Linked DNA regions of Ovis aries. The protein of the gene in region 2 interacts with the protein of the main gene of each other region in a biochemical or structural test. Links are inferred from orthologs where the notes say so. Each region holds a gene or a part of one and is shown on either strand. Other genes may lie near its edges. The genes, in order: ABL2, CRK, RAPGEF1, MAP4K1, ARHGAP32, ERBB2 and BCAR1.

Evidence for each region.
Region 1: of the proteins of CRK (region 2) and ABL2, one has a biochemical effect on the other in vitro, tested with the Homo sapiens proteins (2 studies listed by BioGRID and IntAct, with this or other methods). The link is inferred for Ovis aries from reciprocal best matches to the Homo sapiens genes CRK and ABL2.
Region 3: the proteins of CRK (region 2) and RAPGEF1 form a complex in vitro, tested with the Homo sapiens proteins (4 studies listed by BioGRID, with this or other methods). The link is inferred for Ovis aries from reciprocal best matches to the Homo sapiens genes CRK and RAPGEF1.
Region 4: the proteins of CRK (region 2) and MAP4K1 form a complex in vitro, tested with the Homo sapiens proteins (2 studies listed by BioGRID). The link is inferred for Ovis aries from reciprocal best matches to the Homo sapiens genes CRK and MAP4K1.
Region 5: the proteins of CRK (region 2) and ARHGAP32 form a complex in vitro, tested with the Homo sapiens proteins (2 studies listed by BioGRID and IntAct, with this or other methods). The link is inferred for Ovis aries from reciprocal best matches to the Homo sapiens genes CRK and ARHGAP32.
Region 6: the proteins of CRK (region 2) and ERBB2 form a complex in vitro, tested with the Homo sapiens proteins (2 studies listed by BioGRID and IntAct, with this or other methods). The link is inferred for Ovis aries from reciprocal best matches to the Homo sapiens genes CRK and ERBB2.
Region 7: the proteins of CRK (region 2) and BCAR1 form a complex in vitro, tested with the Homo sapiens proteins (2 studies listed by BioGRID, with this or other methods). The link is inferred for Ovis aries from reciprocal best matches to the Homo sapiens genes CRK and BCAR1.

What each region holds. Positions count from the first base shown.
Region 1 is NC_056065.1:59,964,231-59,968,503, reverse strand, and holds the start of ABL2 (tyrosine-protein kinase ABL2), read left to right. Parts: upstream 1-1,473; 5' UTR 1,474-1,740; coding exon 1,741-1,897; intron 1,898-4,273. UniProt on the Homo sapiens protein: Non-receptor tyrosine-protein kinase that plays an ABL1-overlapping role in key processes linked to cell growth and survival such as cytoskeleton remodeling in response to extracellular stimuli, cell motility and adhesion and receptor endocytosis.
Region 2 is NC_056064.1:22,477,842-22,481,949, forward strand, and holds the start of CRK (adapter molecule crk), read right to left. Parts: upstream 2,801-4,108; 5' UTR 2,646-2,800; coding exon 2,405-2,645; intron 1-2,404. UniProt on the Homo sapiens protein: Involved in cell branching and adhesion mediated by BCAR1-CRK-RAPGEF1 signaling and activation of RAP1.
Region 3 is NC_056056.1:5,109,500-5,113,685, reverse strand, and holds the start of RAPGEF1 (rap guanine nucleotide exchange factor 1), read right to left. Parts: upstream 2,801-4,186; 5' UTR 2,432-2,800; coding exon 2,368-2,431; exon of another isoform or gene 1-2,367. UniProt on the Homo sapiens protein: Guanine nucleotide-releasing protein that binds to SH3 domain of CRK and GRB2/ASH. Transduces signals from CRK to activate RAS. Involved in cell branching and adhesion mediated by BCAR1-CRK-RAPGEF1 signaling and activation of RAP1.
Region 4 is NC_056067.1:47,753,613-47,757,840, forward strand, and holds the start of MAP4K1 (mitogen-activated protein kinase kinase kinase kinase 1), read right to left. Parts: upstream 2,801-4,228; 5' UTR 2,738-2,800; coding exon 2,639-2,737; intron 2,469-2,638; coding exon 2,411-2,468; intron 2,301-2,410; coding exon 2,210-2,300; intron 1,506-2,209; coding exon 1,441-1,505; intron 1-1,440. Other genes in the region: EIF3K (eukaryotic translation initiation factor 3 subunit K), read left to right, coding at 4,061-4,119. UniProt on the Homo sapiens protein: Serine/threonine-protein kinase, which plays a role in the response to environmental stress. Appears to act upstream of the JUN N-terminal pathway.
Region 5 is NC_056074.1:29,778,103-29,781,602, reverse strand, and holds part of ARHGAP32 (rho GTPase-activating protein 32), read left to right. Parts: coding exon 1-456; intron 457-1,659; coding exon 1,660-3,500. UniProt on the Homo sapiens protein: GTPase-activating protein (GAP) promoting GTP hydrolysis on RHOA, CDC42 and RAC1 small GTPases. May be involved in the differentiation of neuronal cells during the formation of neurite extensions.
Region 6 is NC_056064.1:39,833,076-39,836,575, reverse strand, and holds part of ERBB2 (receptor tyrosine-protein kinase erbB-2), read right to left. Parts: intron 2,738-3,500; coding exon 2,711-2,737; intron 2,299-2,710; coding exon 2,251-2,298; intron 677-2,250; coding exon 538-676; intron 456-537; coding exon 333-455; intron 43-332; coding exon 1-42. UniProt on the Homo sapiens protein: Protein tyrosine kinase that is part of several cell surface receptor complexes, but that apparently needs a coreceptor for ligand binding. Essential component of a neuregulin-receptor complex, although neuregulins do not interact with it alone.
Region 7 is NC_056067.1:2,077,621-2,081,893, forward strand, and holds the start of BCAR1 (breast cancer anti-estrogen resistance protein 1), read right to left. Parts: upstream 2,801-4,273; 5' UTR 2,797-2,800; coding exon 2,572-2,796; intron 1-2,571. UniProt on the Homo sapiens protein: Docking protein which plays a central coordinating role for tyrosine kinase-based signaling related to cell adhesion. Implicated in induction of cell migration and cell branching. Involved in the BCAR3-mediated inhibition of TGFB signaling.

The DNA.
Region 1 (4,273 bases), on a different chromosome or scaffold from region 2:
AAACCAATTCTGTCTCTATGATCACCTTTATCCCTTATCAGTGATTTCTTTTTTTGTTTTGCAAACACTTTGGGAATTAAAAGGAAAAAAGTATTTAAACACAGGAAAACTTTGATCCAAATGAAAAACTCATATTGTATCCAGTGCAAAAGCAGTGTTTCTTTTGCCATTTGGTGGGCAATTTCAGTTATTTCTGGTGATATCCTGGATGGCAATGGAATAATTTCATAGAGCTTTTATTGTAGTGAATATTAATGGTTCATCTTTCATCCTGTTCTTGGAAAGATGTGCAAAGAAGAGCTCATCCACCTTTTCTCCTGGACCTTATCTTCCCAATGGTTGTTTTGTTGGTTTTTGCAATGGCACATATACTCTGCTTTCAAGCAAATTTTTATTAAGGTAACTCCAATAACTGATACTTTTAATAAAGGACATAGGGAAGCTAATTGAATACCTAAAAATAATTATCAAGTTCTTTAAAATGTAAAAAACTGAATATTAAGATGCAAGAGTGAGCAGTGAGGGGGAGATAAGTGAATATACAAATGTATGTCTGCGTGCCTGCGCTTTAAAAACATTTTTCTGCCTGAGTCACTCTCTTTAGATAATACAGGCAAAATATAAGTAAGTTCTGACTCAGAAACAGGGTCAAAGGTAATTTTATTTTTCTCCTTTGTCATCAAAAGAAGACTTGACCGCGTGCACTGTATATAAAGCATGCCGGTGTGAAGATTAGCTTTACTGACAAGCGAAGTAACGGTAACAGAAACACATACGTGGTCAGATGGTAAAGAAGTTCAAGAGGACTTCATGATAATATAAGAGGAGGAATCGGGTTATAACTGCTTCCCCAATGAGATTGTAAATTACAGACAACCAAGGTGAGTGCAATTTCCCATCATGAAATAATTTCAAAAAATTACAATGAAATAGTGTACTTTATTATGTTCACGTAAACCTTATATCATTTAATTTTGACTGTATGTCTGCTGCTGACACGGATGTTTAAAGGAATCCTCCAGGGTATTTTAGACAGCCTCACCTGGATAGCAAGCACCAAACTTCTTGTGCTTTTCCGTCCCAGCTGAGTCGGCTAAAGAACTGTGCACCTGGGGCGCTCAGCGCAACTGATTGATTTGACAGGTGGAGGAGTGACAGGGAAACCTTTAAACCGACCGACCCCCCAAAAGGCGGTAAGCGCGTTGAACCGAACTTGGGAGGGGTCGGCTAAGGCGGATTCGGACGTGGGAGGCCGAGCCGCCGCGAAGGAACAGAAGGACCTGAAGCAGCTGTAGACGTGCCAAAGAGGTGGGTACCTGGGGTGGTGGCGGGGGTGGCCCCACCCTGAGAGGAGGCGGGGGCGCGCGGGAGGGGCGGGGCCGCCGGGAAGCCCGCCCTCTGAGTAGCGGAGATGACTGGTCGGGTTGCGGGCAGGAGACGCTCTGTCCCACGCTCTCCCAGTGCTCGGTGGTTTAAAGATGGCGGCGGCGGCAGTAGCGGCAGCATTGGGGGCGCGGAGCCGCGGGATGGGAAGGGAAAAGGAGAACCTGTGAGGCGTCGGGAGGCGGCGCGGCGCCTGCTGTGAGGAGTCGGGTGCGGAGCCGCAGGCGGCCGGACCGCTCAGGGCCGGGGCCTGGGTTGGGAAGGAGAGGCCGGAGCAGCGCCTGGAACCCCGAGGCCGGAGCCGAGGAGGAATGTGACCAGGGGTCGTCGGGGGCGCGGGAGTAAGCGAGCGCAGGGATGGGGCAGCAGGTGGGCCGCGTCGGGGAGGCTCCGGGGCTTCAGCAGTCGCAACCCCGCGGGATCCGGGGCAGCAGCGCAGCCAGGCCCTCCGGTCGCAGGCGGGACTTGGTGGGGCGTACCGCAGAGGCCGGCTTCAATATCTTCACCCAGCATGGTGAGTGTGTCCGGGAGCCGGCGTGAGGACGTGGGGGAGGCCGGAGGTGGAGTTGGGGCGGGGTGGGAGGCAGACAGGCAGCCCTAGGGGGTCGAGCGGGTGGAGGGGTGCCCGAGAGTGGGGGCGGAATCGGCTGCCATCTGGGCCAGTCACGGGAGGCGAGTCACACCCCTCCCCCTTCCCGTCTCCAGCCTGGCTGGCAGCTCCCGGGGGCGGAGGAGGAAAGAGAAGTGGTCTTAGGGATCTTGGATGGACTGTCGTCTACACTGGACACGACTGTGCGGCTCGCGGGGGACGGTGCATGGTATCCTCAGGGGAGAGGAGACTGAGGGAGGTGTGAGCTTAATCCAGGTGTTAGCATAAATCGCTTGTTATCGAAGGGACCGTGAATTGTGCCTCGAGGGGTTGGTAAATAGGAACTGAATCTCAGGACGTAGTGTCCTGTGAAGTAGACGAACAAGCCAGGCAATGAGCGGTGTTAGGATAGTGAACAGTGCTCTGAAATCCCCTTCTATGGGAAAGGTAAGGATAGTAACTCAGCATTTGAATTTTTTTTTTTTCCCCAAAGTGGAAATTAAGGGTTTTGCCAGACCATCCTCTGTTCTGCTCCTTTTGAAGTGAAAGTGAAGTGGCTCAGTGGTGTCCGACTCTTTGCGACCCTATGGACTGTAGCCTACCAGGCTTCTCAGTCCATGGGATTTTCCAGGCAAGAGTACTGGAGTAGGTTGCCATTTCCTTCTCCAGGGGATCTTCCCGACCCAGGGATCGAACCCGGGTCTCCCACATTTGTAGGCAGATGCTTTACTCTCTGAGCCACCAGGGAAGCCCTTGGTGGGGCTTTTGAGTAGGACACAATTCTGAAATGGCTGGCAGGGGTTTGATGATGGTGGGCATAGTTAGGACTTTGGGTAGGAACAAGTTTTTCTGCCAATCATGTGTACATGTATACAAACATATATCCTCTCTATGGTCTGGAACCTATTACTTTGGCCTCATATAAAGGTATTTTTAAGTGGTCGCCAACTCCAGTTTTTAATATCTCTTGATCATACAATACTCCAAGAATTTATGTATAATATACTTGTCCTACTATACTAATGTGTAATGTACAGATGTACACAGAAGCAGAATTTAAGAAAGGATGAGATGAAAAAATAAATATAACGAGTTCTAATATATTATTTCCTGCAGTCCAGGGAAGAATGGACTTTTTGGTACTCTTCTTAGCTGCACCCACACCTTTTGAGGTCATTTGTCTAAAGGAAGAAGGGAAAAAAAAAACTGACCTTCATGGAGTTGAGATACCCTAAAATCTGAGGGAGGCTGAAGAAATAGATGTGACTTCTATATAAAGGACTGGATAGTTGAGGTTGGCTGAGCAGCAGCAAACTGGACTTTCACTGAAGAGGCATAAGGAAAATAGAAAAGAGGGTGTTCTTTTCTGCTTAGTGTAGGGAAGAAGAGGAAGGAAATGTGAACTGTTCCTTAGAAATGGAGTTTTGGAGGAAGTTAAGACAAATGGTCTTATGCAGAGAAAGAGATGGTGAGTTGTATCAGAGTTCTGGGTTTGGACTTTGTGAACAAGCTGAGTTTCTTAATGGAAGAGAGAGAGGTGATTTGGGCCATTCGAGTGTTATATGTCTACTATTAAAGATGCTAGTGAGCCTCTCTTCCAGAGATATGAACATTTTATGAAGGTGCCATATAAGTTAGTCTTTATTGAAATCACTTCCTGCATTGCAGGAGGAAAGAATGGGTAAATAGTTTTCAGGGAAGAAATTATCTAAGTAGCTTTGCATTATGGAAGGTGTTCAGTTCAGTTCAGTCGCTCAGTCATGTCCGACTCTTTGTGACCCCGTGAATCACAGCACGCCAGGCCTCCCTGTCCATCACCATCTCTCGGAGTTCACTCAGACTCACGTCCATCAAGTCCGTGATGCCATCCAGCCATCTCATCCTCGGTCGTCCCCTTCTCCTCCTGCCCACAATCCCTCCCAGCATCAGAGTCTTTTCCAATGAGTCAACTCTTCTCATGAGGTGGCCAAAGTACTGGAGTTTCAGCTTTAGCATCATTCCTTCCAAAGAAATCCCAGGGTTGATCTCCTTCAGAATGGACTGGTTGGATCTCCTTGCAGTCCAAAGGACTCTCAAGAGTCTTCTCCAACACCACAGTTCAAAAGCATCAATTCTTCGGCGCTCAGCCTTCTTCACAGTGTTAGTATGTATTAAACTTCGCCTGGTAGGCAGTGGTGATCCTCTTTGTTTAGTCTCTATTCAAGACCTAAGATTTTCTGAGGAGGCGGAGGTCATGAAGAAGGGAATAGGAAGAGATTTTGAAGGGTGGATAGAATTTGGATCTATGGAGCAAGAAAAAGG
Region 2 (4,108 bases):
TGGGATCTCAAAAGTAAACTGGCTTTGACAGAAAGCAGTGCAGTATAACAGTGTCAGCTCTCAGGCCACAATTCCTAGGTGCAATTCTGGCTCAGTTGCTTACAAGCTGCGTGACTTTGCGGCACTTTACGGTATCTCTGACTCTGTTTCCTCATCTATAAAACGGAAATAGTTTAATAAGTGGAGGTCATAGTACTTTCCTCACTGGACTGTTATAGACAGTAAATGAGACAAGGCATATAATGTACTCAGCAAAGTGCCTGGCACAGAATAACCAGTCAATAAATGGCAGCTATTAATACTGTATATGCCTCTCTAAAATTCAAGAAATTCTTCTGTGTGGCTTCAAAAGAAAAGAGCTTCATGGGGGGAGGGGGAGAACAAAGATTAAGTAATCTTTACAAAGATAGCAACTGAATCAACTGTCCTATGCAGAAAATAGGGTACACGGCAGAAACAAAAAGGACCACAATGCCCATGAACTTTCCACACCCCAGCCACAAACTCTGGCAATCCTCACCTTCTCTCTGGGGCCAAAGATCTGAATTCATATCTGTTAACGAAAAGGTGGAGCTCAACATTAAGGTAACAGCTGAGATTAAAGTTATTAACACCAAGACGTGGGGAAAGCTCAAACAAAGCTGTGTGTTAGGTCGCATCCAACTCTTTTGCAACCCCATGGACTGTAGTCCGCCAGGCTCCTCAGTCCATGGGATTCTCCAGGCAAGAATACTGGACTGGTTTGCCATTTCCTTCTCCCAGGGATCTTCCCCACCCAGGGACTGAACCTGGGTTCTCCTGCACTGCAGGCAGATTCTTTACCATCTGAGCCACCAGCAAAGCCCCTGCTGCTATTTCCAAATTTTTCAACCAACAAAACACACAGAAGGTTGGGAACTTGAGTTTCAGTGACTGTCTGCCATCATGTCACTGCACAGTAATGCAAAAACCCAGACATCATGAAGGTGGTAAAAAGTAGAAAATGTTTGGTTTAGAGTAAACACATTCCCACCTCATGTTATAATGCTATTAAACCAACCAGGCTGAGAAAGACCTAGAATAATTTGTAAGCTTTATGATCCCTACGCTTTTTTAATTGGTATGTGTTAACAAGAGATTATCCCATTTCATTTCTGGTCAGAGAGAATAACCCTAAATTAGGACTCTCCTAAAAGAGCAAGTCTGCAAAGGCTGGTTCCGGAGTCTCTTAATTCAGGTGAGATTGGCCTGAATCTAGTCTCACGTGGTCAGGATTAAACTGCTTCCACCTGGAACAGCGAGGTGGCACTAAGACTCTCCGTACTGTTACACAGATAACTGTAACCTCAGAATTACTCTGTATACCACAAATCTCAAGTACCAAGTGCACAAATCCCCTTAACAACTCCAGTGGCCTGGGTGACTGTCATATCTCAACCTTTAGCAAGGAAGATCCAGTGCAGATCATTTAAACTTTCAAGAGAGTCACTTCAGTGGGATCTGTTTTCAACATCTAGAAGACTCAAGCCACAGCCCTCAACTTACTGAACAAGGAGAGGCCCTGGAGGACAAACAAGACTGATAACGTTCGAGTCCAGGGAAAAATGAACTTCCATTCACTTTCAGGGAAGGGACTGTTTCCACTGGCTTATTTCTGAATTATTTCCTGAAATATAAAAATAAAAATCTTTCCTCCACTGATTGCTTTGAAAACTATAACCCCCCTCATTGTGGAGAACAGTCTCTGGAAGCTCAGCTCTCTTGGACACAGTCAGCCGGACATCAGCTTATTCAGGGTTGGTCACAGAGGCTTTTCTTCTATAACCAAGGCACTTAGCTCACCACCTTCATCCTCCGCGGGGGAAGAGGAAGGTAAAAGTATTTTGGAAAAATGCCCAAGAAAGGAAAAAGCTGACCGGTTTCCTGAGGGTGTCTCCATCCCTCTCGGCCAGTATGTGGTGACTTCCTACCAAAGGCCACCAGGGGAGTATGGCCAAACCCGGCTTTCCAACACTGCAGGAAATGTTTCAAGCCTAAAAAGCCACTTGTAGGATTATCGGATTCATTCCCGGCACCGCTGCCAAGTGATGCCCCGCAGTGCCAACATCCTTCTCAGCTCTTTGTCCCCACGTTGCCCGGCTGTGCTCGGGCGCTAGCCCCACCCTGGGGCCGAGGCAGTTCCCCTTCCCCTGGGCTGTCCTCCCAAGTCACACCCAGAGGCCTGGGTCAGCGGCTCCTCCTCCCCCACACACTCGCGCTGGTCCGTGGGAGCGAGCCCCGGCAGAAGCTGCGCCCCGGCCACGCTCACTCCAGCCCTCTGCCCACGTCCCTCGTGGGGGTCAGCTCTCGAGGCGCAGCCAGCCAGGCTGGGGAGTTCCGCGGCCCTCACCCCCGCCCCGGGCCTCCCGTCCCGTCCGTCCCTCACCGGGCGGAGGCTGGGCGGGCGACGGTGGCACCGGCGGGCGCGGGCCGCTGCTGTTGATGATGTAGTGGGAGACGCGCGAGTTCTCGGAGACGCTGAGCACATAGTCCCCGGGGCTAGTGCTCGAGTCCCGCACCAGGAACACCCCGTGCCGCTGGCCCTGCAACAGCGCCACCGCCTCCTGCCGACTCAGCCGCCCCCAGTACCAGCTACTCCGCTCCTCCGAGTCGAAGTTGCCCGCCATGGCCACCTCCGTGCCTACACGCTGGGCCGCCGCCGCCGCCGCCGCGCGCGCCCCTCCAGCCCCGGCCCCCGCCGCCCAGCGGACCGGCTCGGGTCTCAGCCTCACAGCAGCGCCCGAAATGGCGGCGGCGGCCGCGGGCCTTCCCCACCGGAAATGACGTGCTCCTGGCCCCCGGGAGGATGCCGGGAAGGGAACCACCGCCCGCCATTGGGAGAAGGGCAAGTGACAGATCGTGAGCGCACTGCGCATGCGGCCTCTTGGGCGTCGCCGCCTGGCTGGGACTGGGACTGCAGAGGGTGAGGGGGAGTCCAGGACCGAGGGGCGGGGCTTCAGCTACCAGTAGGCTGTTGGCGACGCGGTTCTTTGCTCCTCCAGGTTTCAAGTTACTGGAAGGCCCAGGCTTCTAGGCAGCGACTAGGGTACAGAATTAGAGCAGAAAAGGTGATGTGGCCCCAGGGCCTGTGTTTCCTGAGATTGTCTTTTTCTGATGGTTCCTCCAGCTTCTCCCCACGCCTGCTGAAGTTCTTGTTTTCACTGATTCATTCAGCAAACAGTTGACACCACATTTGCCCCGAGGGTGCAAAGGTCATCAAGGGCGAGCCCTTCCCTCACCGAATTCGCAGACCAGTGGGAGAAACCAGGAAACAGTCTTTGAAGAAGGCGTGCCAAGTGATACGATGGGGAAGGGGCAAGGGGCTTTAGGAACACATAACAGAGCCCCCTAATCCATTCTGTAGGGGAATCCAGGAGGGCTTGCACTGAATATTGAATGGCAATCAGGGAAGAGCATTCAAGACAAAGGGGACAGAGTGTGCCAAGCCAGGTGGAAGTATGGAGTTCCCTCTGTTTAGGCTCTCAAGACACCTACCCAGACTCTCTAAACTCTAACTGTGGCCATGGGTAGCCTCGGCTCTCCCTGCTGTCAGGACCATTTATACCTTTACATCCCATATCTATTTTTGTATTCCTGTGACAGCCTGCTCACTGGTGTTCTATAGTCTTGCTGCCCTTAATTGTATAGCACACATCTGCCAGTTTGCACTTTCTCAATTATAGCTCTGAGTCAGCTGCTATTCTGTATAAAACTTTTAACAACCTCCAGGTGTTAGAACTCCCCATTTACCTCACAGCATACAACCAAGCCACCGTCTCATCTTCACCACCTCTACATGAACCTTGTGTTTCTTCTCTCTGGAATGCCCCTCCACTCCTTTTGGGATCTCAGTGACAAAAGTCTCCCCTTTCCTGACCATCACATCACTCCCTCTCTGTATGTACAGCCCTATTTCCTTATTATCTTTATTATGGTTCTTAACCACTGTACCGTAATCTTTCATTTACAAGTCTGTATGCCATGGTAGACCTCAAAGGCCAAGCATCTACTGTAGGAGGCACTCCATAATCATTTCGTAATAACAGCTAACATTTATTCAGGAAATAGTACCTGCCAGGCATAGTGCTAA
Region 3 (4,186 bases), on a different chromosome or scaffold from region 2:
ACAACATGGGAGCAGAAACATAGATGGTCTAAAAGGTAGATAATGATTTCCTTTCAATGTCCCTTCAGAATTTATTCTGGATCTGACCTTCCTAATCGCGACCGTCTGGCTCAGGTTAAAGTCTGCCATGGCAGGCCAACAGACAGGCTGGACAGCAGTCAGAGGGGCCGTGGCAGCTGCCTGCAGCAACCACACGTGAGGCCAAGACCCAGCTTCACTTGCCCCTAAAGCAAGGCACTGATTCCACGCCACATGCCCTCCAGCCTGGAGCCATCAAGTCAGTCCCTGTGATTTCATGTTCGTGCTGAGCCTGGACTTCACATCAGGCTCAGGGTGGTGCTGGGGATTCACGAAATCACTCCTGAACACTGTTCTGAAATTACTGTTTCAAAACATCAACAGCCTTTACTGACAAACTGTGAAGAACAGATAAACTCCACACCCCTGTTACTGTGGGTCCTTGGCAGAGCGTCCACAGATGTTGGATCGGAGAATAAACTAGGTACGAGGTCTCTTGTGCACAAACCAAATCCCTACACTGGCAGAGACGTGCCCCTGGTCCAAAGGATCTGTGAAGACCAAGAAATCAGCGGCAGTTAATTGCTCTTTTTACCCCCAGTTCACTGTGGATTCTGAAATCCCTGCCATCAGCCCCTCTCATTTACATTTCTGAACACAAGTAAACAACACAACACAACAGCTTTCATTTTTGTCTGTAAACCCAGCTGCTACCACTGGAAATATCAGGAAGCTTTCATTCATACATTTTCCTAAGGAAAACCAGAGACAACTTGAAAGTAAGTAAAATGTTGAATTCCTGTTATAACATTGGTGATTTGTGTCATTGGATCAGGCGGCTTTTCTTCTCAGTAACTGGAGATACCAGCCCACACGTCAGTGAGAGAGAGTGTTGCATCCCAGCCCACATGCAAATACCCGTGTCTGCGAGAGTCATTCTTTTGAAGGACAAAGTATTATGACATAAAAAGCAACTGCTTTTTTTTTTTAATGTTTCTCTCCCCCAAGTGAGTAAAATACATTAAAGAAAATATAGCAAATCTCACATATTCATTACCTGGATTCTAACGTTGTTAAAATGATCCTGTTTTTCTTACCTAAATGCAAGTGTTCACTCACTCACCTGAACCATTTTAGAGTAAAATTATAGCCAGTATAACCCTTTCCTCCTAAATACTTCACCATGATGATACCAAAATGGACATTCTCCTACATGACTCATTACCACCACCACACAATGGTTTTAGCAACAGTTTCCAAACACCATCTACCACCCAGTTCATATTCAAATTTCCTGGTCTGTCCCTCAAATGTCTTTCATCATTTTTTAATTCAAAGCAGGATTTGATAAAGGAGCAGAAAGGAGCACCTTTTCCAAACTAGCTCATTGACTGATGGAAACTTAGAGGGGTAATGGTTAAGTTAGCATCCCACTGACTTTTCTCAAGAAGGAAAAAAAAAAAAAAAAAAAAACCAACTGTCTATAACCTGACCACAAAAGACAACTCTTACTGACATTTCCATGTGGTTTCTCCAAGTTTATTTTTTCTGTTCATAAACACACACCTGTGCACACACTTATGATCAAACTGTCTTGCTACAGGTCAGGTGCTACCTCCCTTCTTTTTTGGCAAGTGGAGATAAAAGAGTCCATACTATCCAGGGCACTATCTTTGGTATTTGGGTGCCTGCTGGGTCTGCGAACTGCTAGTCTGCTAGGTTAATAACAGTGAAATAGGGCAGCAAGTGCCCTGGGACCCTGCTCAAGGGAGGACCTCCAGTTTTAGGCACACCACAGCACACTGCTGGGTGGTCCCTCTGACTTCTTCCTTCTCAGAGCTAACGCTAACAAAAGCGCGAGTGACATGGAGGAGGTGGTAATAGGTGCTGCTGTCCTGTATCATGGACATCGAGGATAGACAAATACAAGGTGGTTGTTGTTTTTTTTAAATAGGAGGTACTTTGAACTCTTAGGAAGAAAGGGGCTATATAATTAAAAGCTATTATTAACATTCTCTAAACCAAACTGTCACTAAAAATGCAAACTCCTGGATATCAAAATTTTTCTTTGGGATATTTTTTAAAACTGAAAAATTTCAACCCAGCGACATGCGCTGCACTAAATAAAAAAAATCTCAAACTGAACTAAAGTTCTCAGCCAAGTCAGGCCATCACAGAGCTGCGAATCATTTCATTCCTTAGCAGAACTGTCTGTTGACTGTCTTCAGACCATGCTGAACTGGAAGCATGGTCTGGCCCGCAGGCTCAGGTCTGGTCTTACACCGTAGCGTCCCAACAGACAGCGGCCGAAGCCCTTCTTCCTGGGGACGAAGTGCAGGGTCTTCTTACCTGGTTTCCAGGGACACAGGTGGCTTCGTTTCAGGGGCTTCTGTTTTTCAATAGCATTGCCCATTCTAAATTAAGCCAGAGGATCACAGAGCCCTTCCAAGCCCAAGTGTCTTTGCTGAAGAGCAAACACAGACCAAGTCACCAGCTGGACGGGATTCATCTCTCAGACATCCCCATCACCCAGTGGCAAGCCCGTGCAAGAAAAACTTGAACTCTGCTCTGAAAGGTCTTTGCCTCCTGCCTGTCCAACTCTCTTCACTTCCAGGGAGGAAATCAGAATACAAGGCTTGTTACCGCCCCAGCGGTGGGTCCCCGGACCCGTCTATTCTAGGAGCTCCTCCTCGGCTTTCCTGACACTCCAATCCTCATCGGCACAGCAGCAGCCTCGGAGATTGAACTTCATTTCCAAACCCCATCATCGCTGCTTTTCCTTGGGGGAGGAGTGGGAAATCACATGATCAAGAAGCTGAAAGCTAAAAATAGACCAGTTTGGGGGCGTGCCACAAGAAACACTGTCACAGAGACCCCAGGGTCACACCTTCTTTTTAAGGTTCTAGCCCTTAGACCAGTGTGCATACGGGACAAGTTCCATCGGTGAAAACAAACTGACTTCATTAAGACTGTTGTTTCCAAGGGGAAAAGTAAGCAAACATCAAAATGCAAGCTGCACTTCAGTTTCCCAAGAAGAGCTCGGAGGGCAAATGGGAGTGTGCAGCCTCAAGCTCCAGTCACACAGTCTACGTTGGAATTAACATTTCTGGAGACAATGCTGCACCACCTAAATTCTGAACAACAGATTTCCTGGAAGAAAGGGCATGAAATCATACACTTTTTTTTGTGGGGGAAAAAATTAAAGAAAAGAAAATGTCAAGGTACACGGAAAGATTTCACTGACTGAGATCCTAGAACCTGAGGGTAGAAAAGCTCTTCAGGAATCTCTGGAGCGCAGGCAGTGGGGAGACTGAGGCCCTACATCCGGGGCCAGATTCTGGCCTGCCCACCGAGCACAGCAGTGTCAGTTTCCCCATCCGTCAGCTGTGCAGAATGCCGTAGTCCCACCTCCTCGGCTGCGATGAGGACCAAATAAGACAGACACTTGGGAGTCCCCTCAGGAAATCGTTACCACCATCAAGTTTGAAACCACAGTAGCTCGGAAAGCAGATACCTGGCTTCAGCCAATTTGGCCAAAGGCACACAATCAAAGGGACTGGAGGGTAGGATGGGGGAGCCAGCGTAAAATTTAAAGACAAAAAAAGCCCACGGAGCCGAAGAGACAGGGTCTAAAAGGCACTCGGTGCACTGGGGCTTCCACTGCTCAGCGTGCTGCACCACAGCCAGGGCGCCACCCCCGCCACGGCCCCCTCCAAGGGGGCAAGAGAATCCTGCCGGCGTACGCAGAACCGAAGAAGCCACATCCCGATCTCCACAGGAGCCTGAGGTTTCTGATTCCCATCTACCGACACAGAAGTCATTTTCACACAATCGCGGCCTGCGAGTCCAGACTTCTCAAAGCCAACAGCATGTGTCTGTTCCACTTTCCTGCCACCCCAACACTGCGCATGGAGCGCTCCTTCCAGTCAAACCACAGCCACGAACCGGGAAAGAGCGCAGACCCGAGCTCCAGCCACCCGGAGGGGCCGCCGACACCCAGCCACGGGTCAAACACCCACAGCACACCCAGCACTCCATCCCCGTCACCATCAGTGACCGCCCCACCCTTCTGACACACTCTGAAGGGCTCTCAGTTTCCTTCCCCAAACTGTAATAATTTTCCTTAGGCAAGTGTTCAGTGCCAGATATGTCTGACCTCATTTCTTCC
Region 4 (4,228 bases), on a different chromosome or scaffold from region 2:
GAGGGTACCACACAGGGAGGGGAGAACTGGGATGGGACAGGTGGGAGGAGGAGGCAGAGAGGCAGTCAGCAACAGAGAGAGGCAGTGATGCAGGGAACCAGAGAGATTCATTCAACGTGATTATTTGCTGCATGTCTACTGTGTGCCAGCCACTGTGGCAGGCAGCAGGGATACAGCTGTGGACAAAAGAGGCAGAGATCCCTGCCCCCGTGGAGAGAACGCTCTAGCACAGGAGACGGATGGCAGACAAGATAAACAGGTAAGATACATGATACACGAGATGCCAATAAATAGTGAGAAGAAAAATTAAGCAAGAAAAGATAACAGGAAATATGTGTGGGAAATATGTGTGGGAAGGAGTATGACATTTCATACAGGTTGATCAGTGAAGGCGACCCCGAGAAGGCGGCGGGGGTGGAGATGGGGAGCAGTCCCCCTCGGAAAGGGAAAGGCAAGTGCAAAGGCCCAGAAGCAGGGGAGTGTCCCTGGTGGGGCTGGAAAGCAGAGGCGTGGGTGGAGCAGGGAGAGGGCGCCAGCCTGGGATTGTCAGCGGGGGTCAGACTCAGGGGCAGTGTTGAGAAACTTGGGCTTCGCTTTGGGGGGGGGGAGGGGATGGAGGGCATGGGACAGCTCTGAGTGATGTCACTCTGTAGAACAAGGAAAGGCAGAGAGAGACGGGAAGAGATAGAGAATCAGGAACAGACCCAAGCTGAGGCAGAGAGAGACAGACATGGGCAGAGACACCCCAAACTGGGAAAAGAGACACATTGAGAAAGACACAAAGGGGTGAGAATACACCAGAGAGAGACAGCAGACTGAGGGGGTCAGAGACTTGGTCTGACGGGCTGGTGGGGTGAGTCACTTCCTCTCTGTGGGCCTCAGTTTCCCCCACCCGCCCTGAGGACTTCTTCATGAAGTCCTTCCTTTCCTGACCTTTGAGGTCTAGGGCTGGAGGGAGACTGGGAGACTGGGAGATGGTCAAAGATAGAGGTGCACATCAGAAATCTGATCAAGGCCCACCCCGCCCCCACCCTCCAGTGCTCCAAGACAGTGAAAAGCAGGCTGAGTGAATCAGAAATGCATTCACTCATTAAATGAACAGATGGGCCCTGACGATGAGCTAGAAATGCAGAAATACTCAAAGGCATGAATAGACCTTGGTGAGAAAATGCAGGCACAGGGGGAAGATGGGGCAGGGAAAGTCGGGATCGTTGCAGAAAAAATAGAGCTGGACTCTCAGGTCCTGAAGGATACAGGGTTCAGGGCCCGCTTGGGTACCACAGTCTCCCCAGCATCTTCCAGGCCAGGCCTGGTCCAGAGGAGGGGCTCTGTGTGAAATACAGACCAGAAAGACAGTCCCCGGAGACGCAAGGATAGAGGGACAGGACAGGTGGATTGGAGGGCCAAGGGCTGCCTGGATCTCCTCGCCCTGCCACTCACCTTGGTAGATGTCCTGGAGAGAACCAGCCCCACAGAATTCCATGCAGATCCAGAGTTTCTGCAGCCTACAACAGTTCAAGAGCAAGAATAATAATAGCAGTAATAAATCATTATTTATAGGACAGTTTCTGGCTCACTGTCCATCCTATCCTAGTTCAACAAGAACTTGAATGTAAGAGGTGTCATCTCTCTATTGTCTACCAGAGTGAGATCATCCCATTTTACAGATGGGGAGATTGAGGCTCAAAGAAGAAAATATATGTTTAGGGTCAACTGGACCAAACCCAGGTGCCTGGGCTCCTACCATGACGTTCTCTGTTGTCCCATGCTAACCTAGGAGACAGGGCAGAGACTTCACAGGTTGTGGAAGTTCAGAGGGGACAGAGGAGCCCAGGATGCCAGGGCCGGGGGGCAGAGATCATTCTTGGGGCATCTGGGATATTCAAGGGTCAGGGAAATTAGGGGTTCATGTTAAAGGAACAGAAAGTGAAACTGGGGGACCTGCAAGTCAGGACGATGATCAGTTTTAGAGGGACTTGGTTTCACATTTGGTTACCACAAAGGGATCAATTTAGTGAGAAATGCTAGTTATTTATTGGAGATGAGGTTTGGAGGTGCTCTGGTCAAACAAGTGGGACTTCGGGCTGGGGATTAAGTTAGGAGCCTCAGTTAAAAATGGAGGTCTGGGATTAGAGGTTAGGTTGGAGGCGGGTGCTGGTCAGGAATGGGAGTTGGGGGCTGGGCTGGGGGGCAGGGGAGGTCTCATCACCAGAGATAACTCCCATGGTAGGCCACGATGTTGGCGTGCCGACAAGTTTTCAAGATGAGGATTTCCTTCTGAAGGGTGGAAACATCATCGTCTGCGAGGAGGGGCAGAAGAGAAAAGGCTACTGCAGGGATGGAGTATGGGGGAGATCCCAGGGTCCCAGGAGGTGGGGCAGGGGAATGAGGACCTGGGTGCTCTCCTCACCAGGCTCCATCTTCACCATCTTCAGTGCCACCAGGTCCCCTGTCCCCTTCTCTCGAGCCTTGTAAAGGGGAAGTTGGCAGTCAGGCAGGCTCCATTTGCCCGAGGTCTTCCTCAGCATCCCTGAAGCCAAGCTGAGGACTGGGACCCTCTCACATCCCCATCCCTTCTTGGGGCTCACCCCCAAGGTCACAGGTTTGAGAGTGTTGGAGAAGGAGGGGGGTTCCTCACCTTGAAAACTTCCCCATAGGTGCCGCCACCCAGCCGCTGCAGCAGGTCATAGTGGTCCCGGGGGTCCCTGTTAAAGATGTCAGGGTCTACGAGGTCCATTCCTGGGGGCCGGAGCTGGGCCTGCGCCCAGGGGCCAGCAGGGCCTCAGGGCTCCGAATGCTGGCACCTCCCTCCCTCCCCACACGCCCTGCACCCGCCTTGCCTCCACCGGCTGTGGCCTCCCCCCTCCCCACTCTCGCTTCCTGCCCCGGCACAGAGCTGTGCAGCCAGCGGCTCCACCCCCTGTCCCCTGGGCCCTGACAGCCTGTGAGGGGCAGCTTGCCTTGGGACCCAGGGGACTCCCCCCTCCACCTCCGGGGCCCTGGGCTGCATGTAAACCAGATGCAAACTATCTTCATTGTGACCTGGAGGGTGCCCTCACCCTCCCCCGTTATGGGCAGTGGCTAAAAACATTTGAACCTCTGCTGAACGCTGAGTGTTGGGCCACAACCTGGAGATGGCAGGTCTACACCGGGATGACCATGTAGTGTATGTACATCATTGTTCACCCGGGACACATACAGGCACTTAGTGGTAACTCCCCGTGCGGCGCGCAGGCCAGTCGCCGTGCACACTCCTGGATACCCGTGTGCACGTATGTGGATATACCCAGAGCATATACACATATGACACATGCATGTTCAGTCATGCTTGCAGTGGGCAGTATCTGAACACACAACTAGGGATGCCACATGCGGAGCGCTCGCCTTCACCCACAGAACTGGAGCTATGGGGACTGGGCGTGATCTAGCGGGGTCCACGAGCCCCTCTCTCCGCCCCTGCCGAGCTGAGCACAACAGCTTTGCGGGCCACTACCCTCGGCGTTAGGGTGAAGTGTGGGGGACCAGGTTCACGACTTAAAACTGCGAAGCTCAGGATCCTTCCTCAGAGGCCAAGGGGACCTCAGAGGGCACCTTCTTCGGCACATGCCCATGGACCAAAAGGATTGTACTGATGGAACCCCAGCAGTTTTGAGTTCACAGCCCGTGCACGCCGTCACGGATCAGTCTACTTCCCGCTAAGTCCGCGCTCACGCGCCAGGGTCTATAACTGGATACGCGAGGCCCGGGAAAAGCTTAGTCCCGCCCCCTCGCCGCGAGAAGGCGCCTGCGCACTTGGTTAGACTAGGTCTTTTCTCGCGCCGTAGCTTCTGCTCGAGTAGAGCGTATGCGCACGCGCTAACTGCGCCGGCTGGGAAGAAGTCACGCGGCAGCCGGAAAGCGTGGCAGCCGCAGCTAGACCCAAAGCACGATTCACCGCGGGGCTGGAGAGAAAACAATTACGTAGTTTCCGTTTCCACCAACTCTTCCTCTTCCGGTCCTCGAGGACGCTTTGCCGGCAGGGTCTTCGGCCTTAGGCCTGGTGTGGGAGGCGGCAGCAGTCATGGCGATGTTTGAGCAGATGAGAGCGAACGTGGGCAAGTTGCTCAAGGGGATCGACAGGTCTGAGCCCGGTCGGAGGGAGCGTTTCTGGCCAGCGTGGAGGAGAGGGTTTTCTGGGGTCAGCAAGAGGTGGTCAGCATCCTGGGCTTGCCCAGGGGTGGGATTTTTC
Region 5 (3,500 bases), on a different chromosome or scaffold from region 2:
GAAGACCAATCTGTGAAGACCAGTGTGCCGACCGTCTCCTTTGTGGACCACGATCAGCTCCATTTCTACAGTGGAGATGAGCCTCCTTCTTACCTTGGTGCAAGCGTGGATAAGCCCCATCACCCTTCAGAACTTGCAGACAGAAGTCCTGCCCCTTCTCATTTGCCTAGGGACAAGATCTGCCCTCCTTCCGGGTCCCCTGAAGAGAACACCAGCACAGCCCCCCTGGCGTACATGATGCATGCTCCAGCAGCGGCCATAGCAAGCGCCAGCGAAGCCAGCTGGGACGTGGCAGAACAGCCCAGCGCAGTGGAGTATGTAACCGCCACCCTTCAGCGTGCTCAACGAGCCAGCCGTCCCCTACCCCTACCTCCTTCCCAGAGACCCGCAGAGCAGCCCCCGGTCCTGGGGCAGGTACAGACTACAGCCAGTATAGGACTAACCAATCCCCACAAGGTAAGAAGCGGGGCAGGCCAGTGGCATGCAGTGTTTCTCCAAAGGTGTGCCACTCTCCATCAGCGTGTGACGTTGCCGCGAGTGAGATCTGACATCTCTTTTTAAGTCCTAGGCCGATTTCTGTGAAACACTTCCTGGTTGAGATGGGGATCTGCCTTTATCTTGATGCTGGCTTTTCTCTGAAAAAGGAGCTGCTTCTCCATGGCTGTGGTTTAACTATAACCCTCTCCCTTTACAAAGAGATTATGAGCGCAGGAGTCCACCTGGCCATTGGCTGTCAGAGTTGTGGGGTTTTTCCCGGCTCCCTCACTGACTCAGTGTGACTCTGGGCAAGCTGTCCAACCATCTCTGCCAGTTTTTCACGTCTGCACGGCCAAAGTGCTGTAGTCTCAGGACACTTGGAAGACTTTATGTCTTACCAACTTTCTCGAAATATCAGAGATGACAGTGTCTTAGGACTTTTTGTTTTTTCAGCATTAGCCAGCAGATTGTTGAACAGTCAAGCACCTGTTTTGATGAGAGAATGTTGTATGCAGACTGTGAAGGTTTTTTGTTGTCACCTTGGACTAAAAGGACTTCACTATCTAGTCCTCTATGGAAGATGCTATTTCCAGCCACTTGTTTCTCAAGGGCAGCGTGTGCAGCCTTGCAGTGAGAACCATGTTTGTCTTCTGCTGCCACAGACACACTGGAGCGGGAGGGAGAGGCGGAGGCTGTGTTGAATGCCACCTGGACATGTCCCTTCTTGTTCCTCCCTGTCCTGGGGGCTGAAAACTGCCCACTGGGCAGTGGGTATCACTTCAAAACACTCTTCAGGTAGAATCAGCACTGCTTGTGTAACAGAATGTTCTTGGTGTTGAGACTGAGCTGCACGGATAGACCGGGTACGTGGTTTCAAGCCTAGTGATCTTTTAAGCAAATCATATCTGTCATGGTGCACCCCATCTCTTGAAAACCCATCCTAAAAGAGAACAGCTCTCCAAAGATGGGCTGGCTGCCACACCAGGTGGCCACAGAGGCCTGCCTTCTTTTCCTGACTGTAGGGACAGGTAGGCCTCTGCCCTGTCCAGCACCTCTGCACAGCTTGGGAAATTTCCAGCTGCTGCCCACATGGCCGCAGCTTGTGAGTTATGAATTCAGTAATGTTTGATTCCGTAGAGGGAAGCATAAAAAAACACTCACAGTACTGTCATCTTTCAACAGGTTCAAGGAGCAGTTCCGGTTCCGGAGAGGCCGTCTGAACCCAGGGGCCTGGGTGACCCTGCACCTGTCCTGGTTGGGGATGGCGGGGCCGCTGCGCAGTGCCCAACCTCCGCTCCAGCTCCTCAGCCCGTCCTTCCTGAAAAGGTGCGGGAAGGTGCCAGGGCGCCCGCGCTGCACCTGCGCGCCGAGTCTGTGCCCGCGCACGCCTCCTGTGGCTTCCCCACCCCGGCGCCCCCCGCCAGGACCATGGAGAGCAGACTGGCCGCGGCCCTCCACTCGGGCAGCGCCGACGGGGCGGGCGGCGCCGGGTACCACTCCTTCGTTGCCGCTGCCTCCGCGGAAGAAACCTTGCCTTTGCCCCTCCCTGTCCCACAAGCCAAGCACGGCCCTCTTAAGACTGCTTACCCCACGTTCGCCAGGCCTGACCTCACCACGGAGCCCTTCGGTCCAGAAAACTGTCTGCATTTCAGTATGACCCCAAACTGCCAGTTCCGCCCCCAGAGCGTGCCACCCCATCACGGGAAAGCGGAGCCGCACTCAGTGTATGCGTCCAGGTCGGAGCCACCAGCCTCCACGGGCCCCCGGTACAACACGTACGTGGCCCCCGGGAGAAGCGTGTCTGGACACCAACCGAAGCCGTGTAGCCGGGCAGAGTACGTGTCCTCACTGAGCTCGTCCGTCAGGGGTGGCTGCTACCCCGAGGACATGCCGCCGTACCCCACCATCCGCCGGGTGCAGTCTCTGCACGCGCCTCCGTCCTCCATGATCCGCTCTGTCCCCATCTCCAGGACAGAGGTGCCCCCAGATGAGGAGCCCGCCTACTGCCCACGACCCCTGTACCAGTATAAGCCATATCAGTCATCCCAGGCCCGCTCGGACTACCACGTCACTCAGCTGCAGCCTTACTTCGAGAACGGCCGGGTGCACTACCGGTACAGCCCCTACGCCAGCTCGGCCAGTTCCTACTACAGCCCCGACGGCGCTCTGTGTGACGTGGACGCCTACGGCACGGTGCAGCTGCGGCCCCTGCACCGCCTGCCGGGCCGCGACCTGGCCTTCCTCGCCCCGCGGCTGCAAGGCAAGAATGTGTACGCGTTCGCCGGGGGTGCGGCCCCGCGCGCCCGGCCCAGCGTGGCCAGCTACTTCCCGGCCAATGACCACAGCATGGTCCACATGCCCCCGGTGGCCGACGCGAAGCACGCGTACGCCTCGTGGGATCTGGAGGACCTGGAGAAGTACCGCCTGCAGTCCATCCGCAGGGAGAGCCGTGCGCGGCAGAAGGCCAAGGGGCCTGTCGTGTCCCAGTATGACAACATGAGCCCGGCCGGCGCGCCGGATGACCTGGGCAGCATCTATGTCATCCACCTGCGCAGCAAGTCGGATCCTGGGAAAACTGGACTCCTCTCCGTGGCTGAGGGCAAGGAGGGGCGGCACCTGGCCAAGGCCCTGAGCCCCGAGGGGGAGGACCGCTTCTACCGGAAGCACGCGGAGCCGGAGCTGGAGCGCGTGCCCCACCACCAGGGCGGGTACGGCAACGGGCAGCCGGAGAAGCCGTGCCTCCCCCAGAAGCAGAGCAGCGTCAGGAACCGCAAGCTGCACGACGCGGGCTGCAGCCTCCCCGAGCACAGGCCGCATCAGGAAGCAAGCCATAGGCAGCTGTGCGACCCGAAGAATGGGCCCCCTTTCCCCCAGGGAGCCGGCCCGCTAGACTACGGGCCCAAAGGGCTTCCAGACCCTGCCGAGCCTGTCAGCTACCTTAACTCTGGAGGGAAATACGTGCCGTCAGGGCCGGAGTCTTTAAGACCGAGCCACAAAGAGGTGCGGCTCCCCAAGGAGCTAGA
Region 6 (3,500 bases), about 17 Mb from region 2:
CACGGGGATTTTCACATTTTCCCCATCGGGGATCCAGATGCCCTGGGCAGAGAGGAGGATGTGAGCAAAAGGACCGGCCAGATCAACCTGCAGCCGTCCTACTTGGGGTCACTGCTTGTGCTCCCAATTCCCTCCCCAACCCTTGGGCCAATCCCATTATTTAGCAGCAGCCTCACCATTTAGACCCACTGGCCACTCCCAATCCCCTATCCTTAAGTGCCTACTCAACTGCACCACCCGCGGTTCCTGGCTGTTGTCCCAGCACACCCTCCGCCACACCCTGCAGCATCCTCTAGGACCGCCCACCCGGGGACTTTGGCCCCACCCCTGACCTTGTAGACGGTGCCAAAAGCTCCAGATCCTAGCACCTTCACTTTCCTCAGCTCTGTCTCTTTTAAGATCCGCATCTGAGCCTGATTGGGCATCGCTCCGCTGGGCGTCAGGGGCTCCACCAGCTGGGGTGAGGGGGTAGTGGGTCAGTGCTGCAGGTTGGGCCGCAGACCCCAGAGCTCGAGAGAGACCCTCAGGTCGCCTCACCTCCGTCTCCTGCAGCAGCCGCCGCATTGTATACTTCCGGATCTTCTGCCGCCTTCGCTTAATGAGGATGCCGAACACCAGCCCCACAAGGACAACCAGCAGAACGCCCACCACAGCGGCAATGATGGATGTCACAGGGCTGGGGGCAGGAGCCAGGATCATGGATTGGGGACCAGTCTGGGGCAGGGGGGATGAAGGGGTCCCACGGTGGGGCGCGGTGGGGTGGGGGGAGGAGGGAGAGGGGGCTGACTGTCACTGGCATTTGGAAAGGGAAGTCAGAAGGGTGACCCACAGGCTCCCATCCTGTCTGACCTACTCTAAAATCCATCTTGGCTCCTTACTGTCTGGGAAATAAAGTCCAGACTCCTTGCTAAGATTCAAAACCCTCTACACCTACATCTCCAAGTTGTCTATGCTCTTGCCCATGGCTCTAGCCCAGGGTTCTTGTCAACCTGTGAGAGTACGGAGCTCCACCCTCCAGAGACTTTGACTGTGGTATGAGGTGGGGCCCAGGAAGGTGCACACAGAGATTCTGATGTTCTAGCCAGAATTTTCACCCATAGGTCACGATTTCCAAATCTCCCAGCCGTTGTTATAATACTTCTGCCTGGATCACCATTTCTGCATGAGGTCATCTTTCAAGACTCTGCTTATCCTAGGATAGAAGGATCTCCTGGGCACTGACCCTACATCCTTGTCATCCTTGTTCCCCTCCCTTGCTTAGCCAAGGGCTGGCTTATCACAGACCTCAAATGGACCCTTATGTCATGGACAAATGCTTACTCAGGACACACTCCGATCTTTTTCTCCCTAAAACCCTTCCCAAAACACCCCTCTGCCTAGAAATCAAGTCCAGCGATGGTAGTGATGGACATCACAGGGCCTGTGGCCTCATGGTAGGGGAGAGCCTATGCCCTCCAGATCCGGCCCTGAACTGACTCAGACTTCACCCCCTACTCCTTCCTCTGTGCTTAGTCAGTTACCCACCACAGCAGAATCTTCAGCAAATACATCCTAGACTTTCTGGACACCTCTTACCATGCTGCCTGGTTGCTTTCCTAATACAAGTGACATTTCGCGCCCCTCTTTCAAAACCTAGCTCATGTGCCTGAAGCCTCCCACTGACCCCAGGGAAGTATTCACTGTCTCTCCCTCAGTGCTGCAGCCATGCTCTCTTCTCAACGTGCCTCGAGTCCCAGGGAGTTGAAGGCTGCCTGTGTCCCTTATGAGACCCCCAGCTATACAGGGAGGGTGGGGAGGTGCTGGGTGTCTTCCTACCCCCTGACCCCCAAGCAAGCCGAGCAGGCCTTCCACCCACTGCATGTGTGTGTGCATATGTGCTGAGCCTCCCAGTTGTGTCCACCTCTCTGCAACCCCGTTGAGTGTAGCCAGCCAGGCCTCTCTGTCCATGGGATTTCCGAGGCAAGAATACTGGAGTAGGTCGTTATTTCTTACTCCAGGGGATGTTCGCAGCCCAGAGATTGAACCCCAGTCTCTTGTGTCTCCTGCACTAGCAGGCCAATTGACCCCTGCACCACCTGGGAAGCCCCTCCATCCCCTAGTTGAAGCTAACTGAAAGAAGCATCCACAGTGGAAGAGTGGGCTGGGGAGGACACGTGTCATGTCAGGACATGACACCTAGCAGCAGGGACCACCCAGGGGTCAGTGGGGAACTGAGGGCAATGTGGGGTGCATTCTGGGGACCAGGCTGACCTGGCTCTCTGCTCGGCGGGACAGCCCTTGTCATCCAAGTCCACACAGCTGCAGGAGAGAGAGAGTCCCGTCAACAAGGCTGGGAACCACCTCCTGCACTCACTCCAGCCTCACAGGATCCCAGGAGGTGGGTGTGACTGGGTTAGGATCCCCACTTGACAAAGGCAGAAACTGGGTTCGAGGTCACCAGGGCTCTTTCTACCATCCCACGGGGGAGTCCTCCAGTCTGTAAACCCATATCATTTGCACCTCCCTGTGGTGGGAAGGAAGTGGTGGCACCCAAAGGAGCATCGGGTTCAAGAGCTTAGCCATCTCCTCTGTAGAGGAAGCCAGCGTAAACTACTACTGTAGTCGGGCAAACTCCCGCAGTTCCTCCTGTCCTCCCAGCGGTTCCACCTCTGGGGATAAACCCTGAAAATGCCAACACCTGTACACTAGGGGGCATGTACAAGATGCTCACTTGTACGTGGAGCTCAAGTGCAATAAACTGCCAAAAAGAGAAAAAAGGAAACAAGTTCAGTCAGTACTCTCAGGCAGGGACACAACTAAATAACTCTACATCCATACTGCAGATTGAGTAGTTAAAAAAAAAAGGAGTTAGATTGATATGCATTCACAGGAAAGGACCTCCAAGATACATAAAGGGGGGAAGGTGTGGGGGAGCAAAGTGTATATGAGTCAAATAAATTGCTGAGAAATAGATGAGCTAGATGAAACTGTTGTTTCTTGATCATTTTTGACTTCTAAAAACAGCAATCTTATATGACTCAACGTAACATATACGTAAAATGCACTTATGTAAATATGTGCAGAAAAGCCTGGAGGAATGCACATTCCAGAGTGACCTGGTAGTTCTCTCCAGGGAGGGGAGGGGCAGTGGGAGAAAGGGCACTTCTGCTTTACACTGTTTACTTTGATACTGCTAAAAATATGTCTTACAAGAATGTATGCACGTGTTCCACGTGTTATCAAAAACAACTAAGTAAAAAAATAAAAAGAGCAGGGCGGATCACTATATTAGCACATGAAAAAGCATTGCAAGAAAAACTGCAGTGTTACGTGAGAAAAAGCAATTGGCAAACAATAGGTATGGTCTATGCTCCTATTTTTGTAAAAAGAAATATAGACTAGAATGTGCACAGATAAGAATTGGAGAATAAAAATAATATATAAACATATTTTATATATTATATAATAATACATGTTAGCATGTGCACATATAAACTGGAGGGAAAATATGGCAAGTTATT
Region 7 (4,273 bases), on a different chromosome or scaffold from region 2:
GGCAGAGGGGCCCTGAGCTGTGTGGCAAAGTGCAGCCAGGAGGCCCCAGGGCACTGGTCAGGTCCACGAAATCCAGGGCGTAAAGTTCACAGGCCTTGCTCACCCCCCCATCCCTGCCTGACACACACCCAGGCCGCGAGCACAGAGCCCCACACACGGCACTCACTCGGCAAACACTGGTTCTCTTCATACACGGCCGTCTCAAATGTGGGCCAAGATTATTTCTGGGGTATTCTGTTTGCTTGTCCCAAGGAGACCCTGTGGCCAGCGGATACAGCCAAAGCGTGTGTGTGCCCCCGCCGCAGCCCACACCCACAGCTCACTTGTGCCCTGGGACGCCCCCAGGAGGGCTGCCCCGTGCCCAGGGCCCTGGCAAGCCCCCGCTCTGCTCCGGGCTGGGGGGTTCAGGAGGGCAGCCCCTCACCTTTCCAGGGGTCCCCACACCCTCATCTCGGACAGAACTCCGGAACAGCTGGCCTTGGTGTCACCCAGGACAGCTGAGAGTTCAGGGACTGGGCTCAGGTCTTCAGTGCCCAGCGTGAGGAGCACGGGTGAGACCCTGCGCCAGAGCCACGCGCGGGGACAAGGCAGGCATGCCCCCTTCCCCGCCTACTGGGCAGTGCCCGAGCCCCAGACGCAGAGCAGGGGCTGGGTGTGGGTCTTCAGCCCCAGGCCCTGACCCCAGCAGCCAGAACAGGCCCACAGACACAGACTGGAAACCCAGCTGTGGGGGGTCATGGCCAGCAGGAGCCCTGACCCGGCCTTGGTTAGCAGTGGCAAGAGCAAGAGCCTCCGCATTCAGGTCCTGGGCGGGAAGAAGGCCGTGGGCAGGGAGCCCAGGCACGGACCCTGGCGGCTGGGCAGGGAGGGTCCTCGAGCCGCAAACATGGCCTGCAGCCTCTAGCACACCAGATGGTGGGGAGAGGCGGGCCTGGCCCCGGGCACTGAGGAGCCCCTGGGGAGGGACGAGAGCAGAGCCCACTGTCCCAGAGCCCACCTACCTGCTGACAGCTGGGAGTGGTCCTCGCACCCTGAGCTCCGCACCACTGCCACCCGCCCAGGGAACTGACCCAGACCCCAGACTCGCTGGGACAGTCTGGCCTGTTCAGTCTCAGGATTTGGCTTCTTGGCAGAGGCCAGCACAGGCTGACCTTGAGTTCACGGACAGCATCAGGCCCTGGGAAGCCACCACGGCCACCCCCCAGGTTTGCCACTGGAGGGGCAGAGACAGAGGCACAGCCCAGGTGGGGCGGCAGAGGCGTTGTTCCTTACAACGCCTTGGTTTCCCCACCTCGGCGTTCAAAGCCCCCTCTCCAGTCCTAAATGGTAACCCTCAGCAGCCCTTAAAGCAGCACCACCTGCTTCAGCAGGAGGAGGGAGACACACTGGTACAAAGAGCACAGTTCTCCAGCTCAAAAAAGGTCCCGAGCCCTGGTGTCTAGGGTGCGTGCTGGAAAAGGGGTCTGAGACGGGGCCCAGCTCCTCCACCCTGAGCCCGTTCCAGGCCAGCCAGTACTTCGTCCCTCTCCCCAGGCAGAGATGGGAGCAGGTCAAGTCAGGGGCTCTCCCGCCCGCCCCCTGGAGGGAGACCACCCTGGAGCTCCGTACTTGGGGCCTTCAGGGCCCAGAGAGGAGGAACTTGGACAGTGTCTTCCCGGAGAATGACCCAGTGCCCGCCAAGCACTGTCCCCACCCCCTTCCACCTGCTGGCTGGTTCTAGCTGCCCCAGCCAGCTGTGGGCTCCTGGGGGACGGAGGAGAGCTCTCCAGGCTGAGAGAAAACGGGCGCTGGGACCCCTAAAAGAATGACAGGTGGGGGCCACTAAGGCACAGTGTGGGAGCCAGTGAGAGACCCCACGGAGCTGGCAGTCCCCCCAGTCCCAGAGTGAGGGGAGCACATGGACGAGCTGGGCCACACCAGGAGACTACGCCCTGGGTCAGCTCTGAGGACAGTAACGTCCCTCTCTGGCCTCAGTGCCCCCATCTGCACCTGGAGGGAGCAGTGGCCTCTCTCACTCGGGCAGGACCCCCAGGGCACTGCCCTCACTTCAGTTCCTGCCCAAGCCTGGGCAGACGGGGCAAGCCTGCAGCGCAAGTGTACAGCTCTCTGGAGCTGAGGCTGACCGTCCTGGCAGAGTTGGAGACTGCCCTAGCCTGCCTCCACCCTGCACCCACTGGACTCTCCCCTCGCTGAGGTCAAGTGGGTGGCGGGTGCCAGTGCCAGAAGGGCTTGCCAACAGCTCCTCCCAGACTCCCTTCCCATCAGGCTCCACCTGCACTCAGGCCCCTCTCCTGCTTTTCCAGGCCTGTTAGCCCTGACACGTCCCTCCACACCAGCATCAGCTCCCCACCCTGGAAAGGAAACGGTCATGGGTGGGGGGAGATGAGGAATACCTCCGGGCCTGGCTGAAACCGGCACAGCAAACCCGGACAGGACCTCCCAGCTGAGAGTCTTAAGGCTGGGGAGAAAACAAGCTCCCTGTTCTCAAGACCAGCTAGAGATGGGAGACCCCAACATCTCCCCGGACTTTAATCTCTCACGCTCCCCTACCTCCCCCAGGCCTCGGCAAACCTCAGTTTCTCCGAAACCATCACCACTACCCGGGGCTCTGCCGAGCGCAGCAGCAACCCGGGCACCTAAGCCCAGGTGGCGGCCACCCGAGTGGCGGCCGCGCCCCTCCCGGCTCGCAGGCTCCACCAGCGCAGACGAGGGACCGGGATGGGACCGCCGCGTGGGGTTGGACTGGCCTGTCCACCGTCCAGCTCCCACAACGCTTCTGCAGAGAACGAAGGCCATAACTGGAGCCCGCCCCGGATCCCGGAGTCCAACGCTGGCGACCGAGGTTAATTATTAACTTCTCCGCAGACCACGCACTTGCTCCCGGCGCCCTCGATCCCTAGCCTGGGGCAGGGGCAACCGTCCCCCCAAAACACAGGGAGCACCACCCCGCCTCCTGGAAATTCACGGCCCAAGGGGCCCCGGGTCGCTGCTCCGGGCGATGGAGGGGGGGGCTCGGAGACCCGGCTCTCAGGCCCAAGGTCACCCGGCAGGCGCGGCCGGCAGGCGGGAGCGGGCCTCCGGCCAGCTACTCTCCCGGATCCAGGAACTTCCCTGCGGCCCGCGGCGCCCGAACCCGGTCCTTCCAGCAGCCCGCGGGCGCGCGGGGCCTGCGGTCGCCCACAGCCCCGGCCTTCGCGAGCCCGGGCCGGGCAGAGGGGGTTCGCAGGACCCCGGCCCCACGCCCCCGCGGCGGCCGTTCCCAGGACCCGCGGGTCCGGCAGGAAATGCCGCTCACTTAACCCCTCCCCGCCCGGGCCCGCCGGGTCCGCCCGGGCGCGGGCAGGGCCGGGGGGCCTCGGCCGACGGCCCCGGGTGCGCGGACCGCGCCCCGGCCGAGCTCACCAGGTAGTTCATGGTGTCCGGTGGGCCTGGGCTCCCCCCGGGGGCGCACAGCGAACCGCTCGCGCCGCGCGCTCGCGGGGTCCCGAGCGCCCCGAGGCCGCGCGGCTCCCGCGCCCCGGTGCGGCCGCCTCAGCGCCTGCCCGGCCACTGCCGCCGCCCAGGGCCGGCCCTCCTCGCCCCGCCCGCCGCCGCGCCCCGCTCCGTCGCGCCCGGCCGCGCGCACCCATTGGCCACGCGGGCCCCCATGCAAATGCCCCGCCGGGCCGGGGGCGGGGCGCCGAGCAGGGCCCGCCCCCGGCCCCGCCCCCAGGGCCGGGACTGCGCGGGGCTCCGGGAACCCGCCCGCCCCGCGCTCCGAAGGCCTGTCCCTGCCCTCCACCGAGGGCGAGCGCGCCCCTCCTCAAAGGCCGTGGCCTTCCTCTTCCGGGAAGACTGCCGGGATTGCCCTCCTGCTCTGCGGCCGTGGCAGCCCCGGAGGCGCCAGCCTTCCCCGCCTGCCAGCGAGGGTCATTTCACACGCGTCCATCCAACAAGTCCGACTCAGATCTGCACCCGGAGGAGTATGCCCCAGCTGGCAGAAAACTGAGATTCCGACTACCACCGCACCGACTCTGGTCAGGCGTGTGGTGTCAAGAGCCCCAGAACGTGAAGACACGGCAAGGACGCCGGGGAAGGCAGGGAATCCGGGGACGGCAGCTGTCTCCGTGGGTAACGCGGGGAGTGGAGGCCCGGAGCGCATCGTGTTCTAGAAGCCACAGTGTGCAGGAGGCCCCAGCGCACCGGGGACAAGAAGCTTGTCCATTTACCCCTTCTCCGAACTGAATCCAGCTTCCCTAGTGCTGCCCCAGGACCTCTGCCCCCACTCAGACCC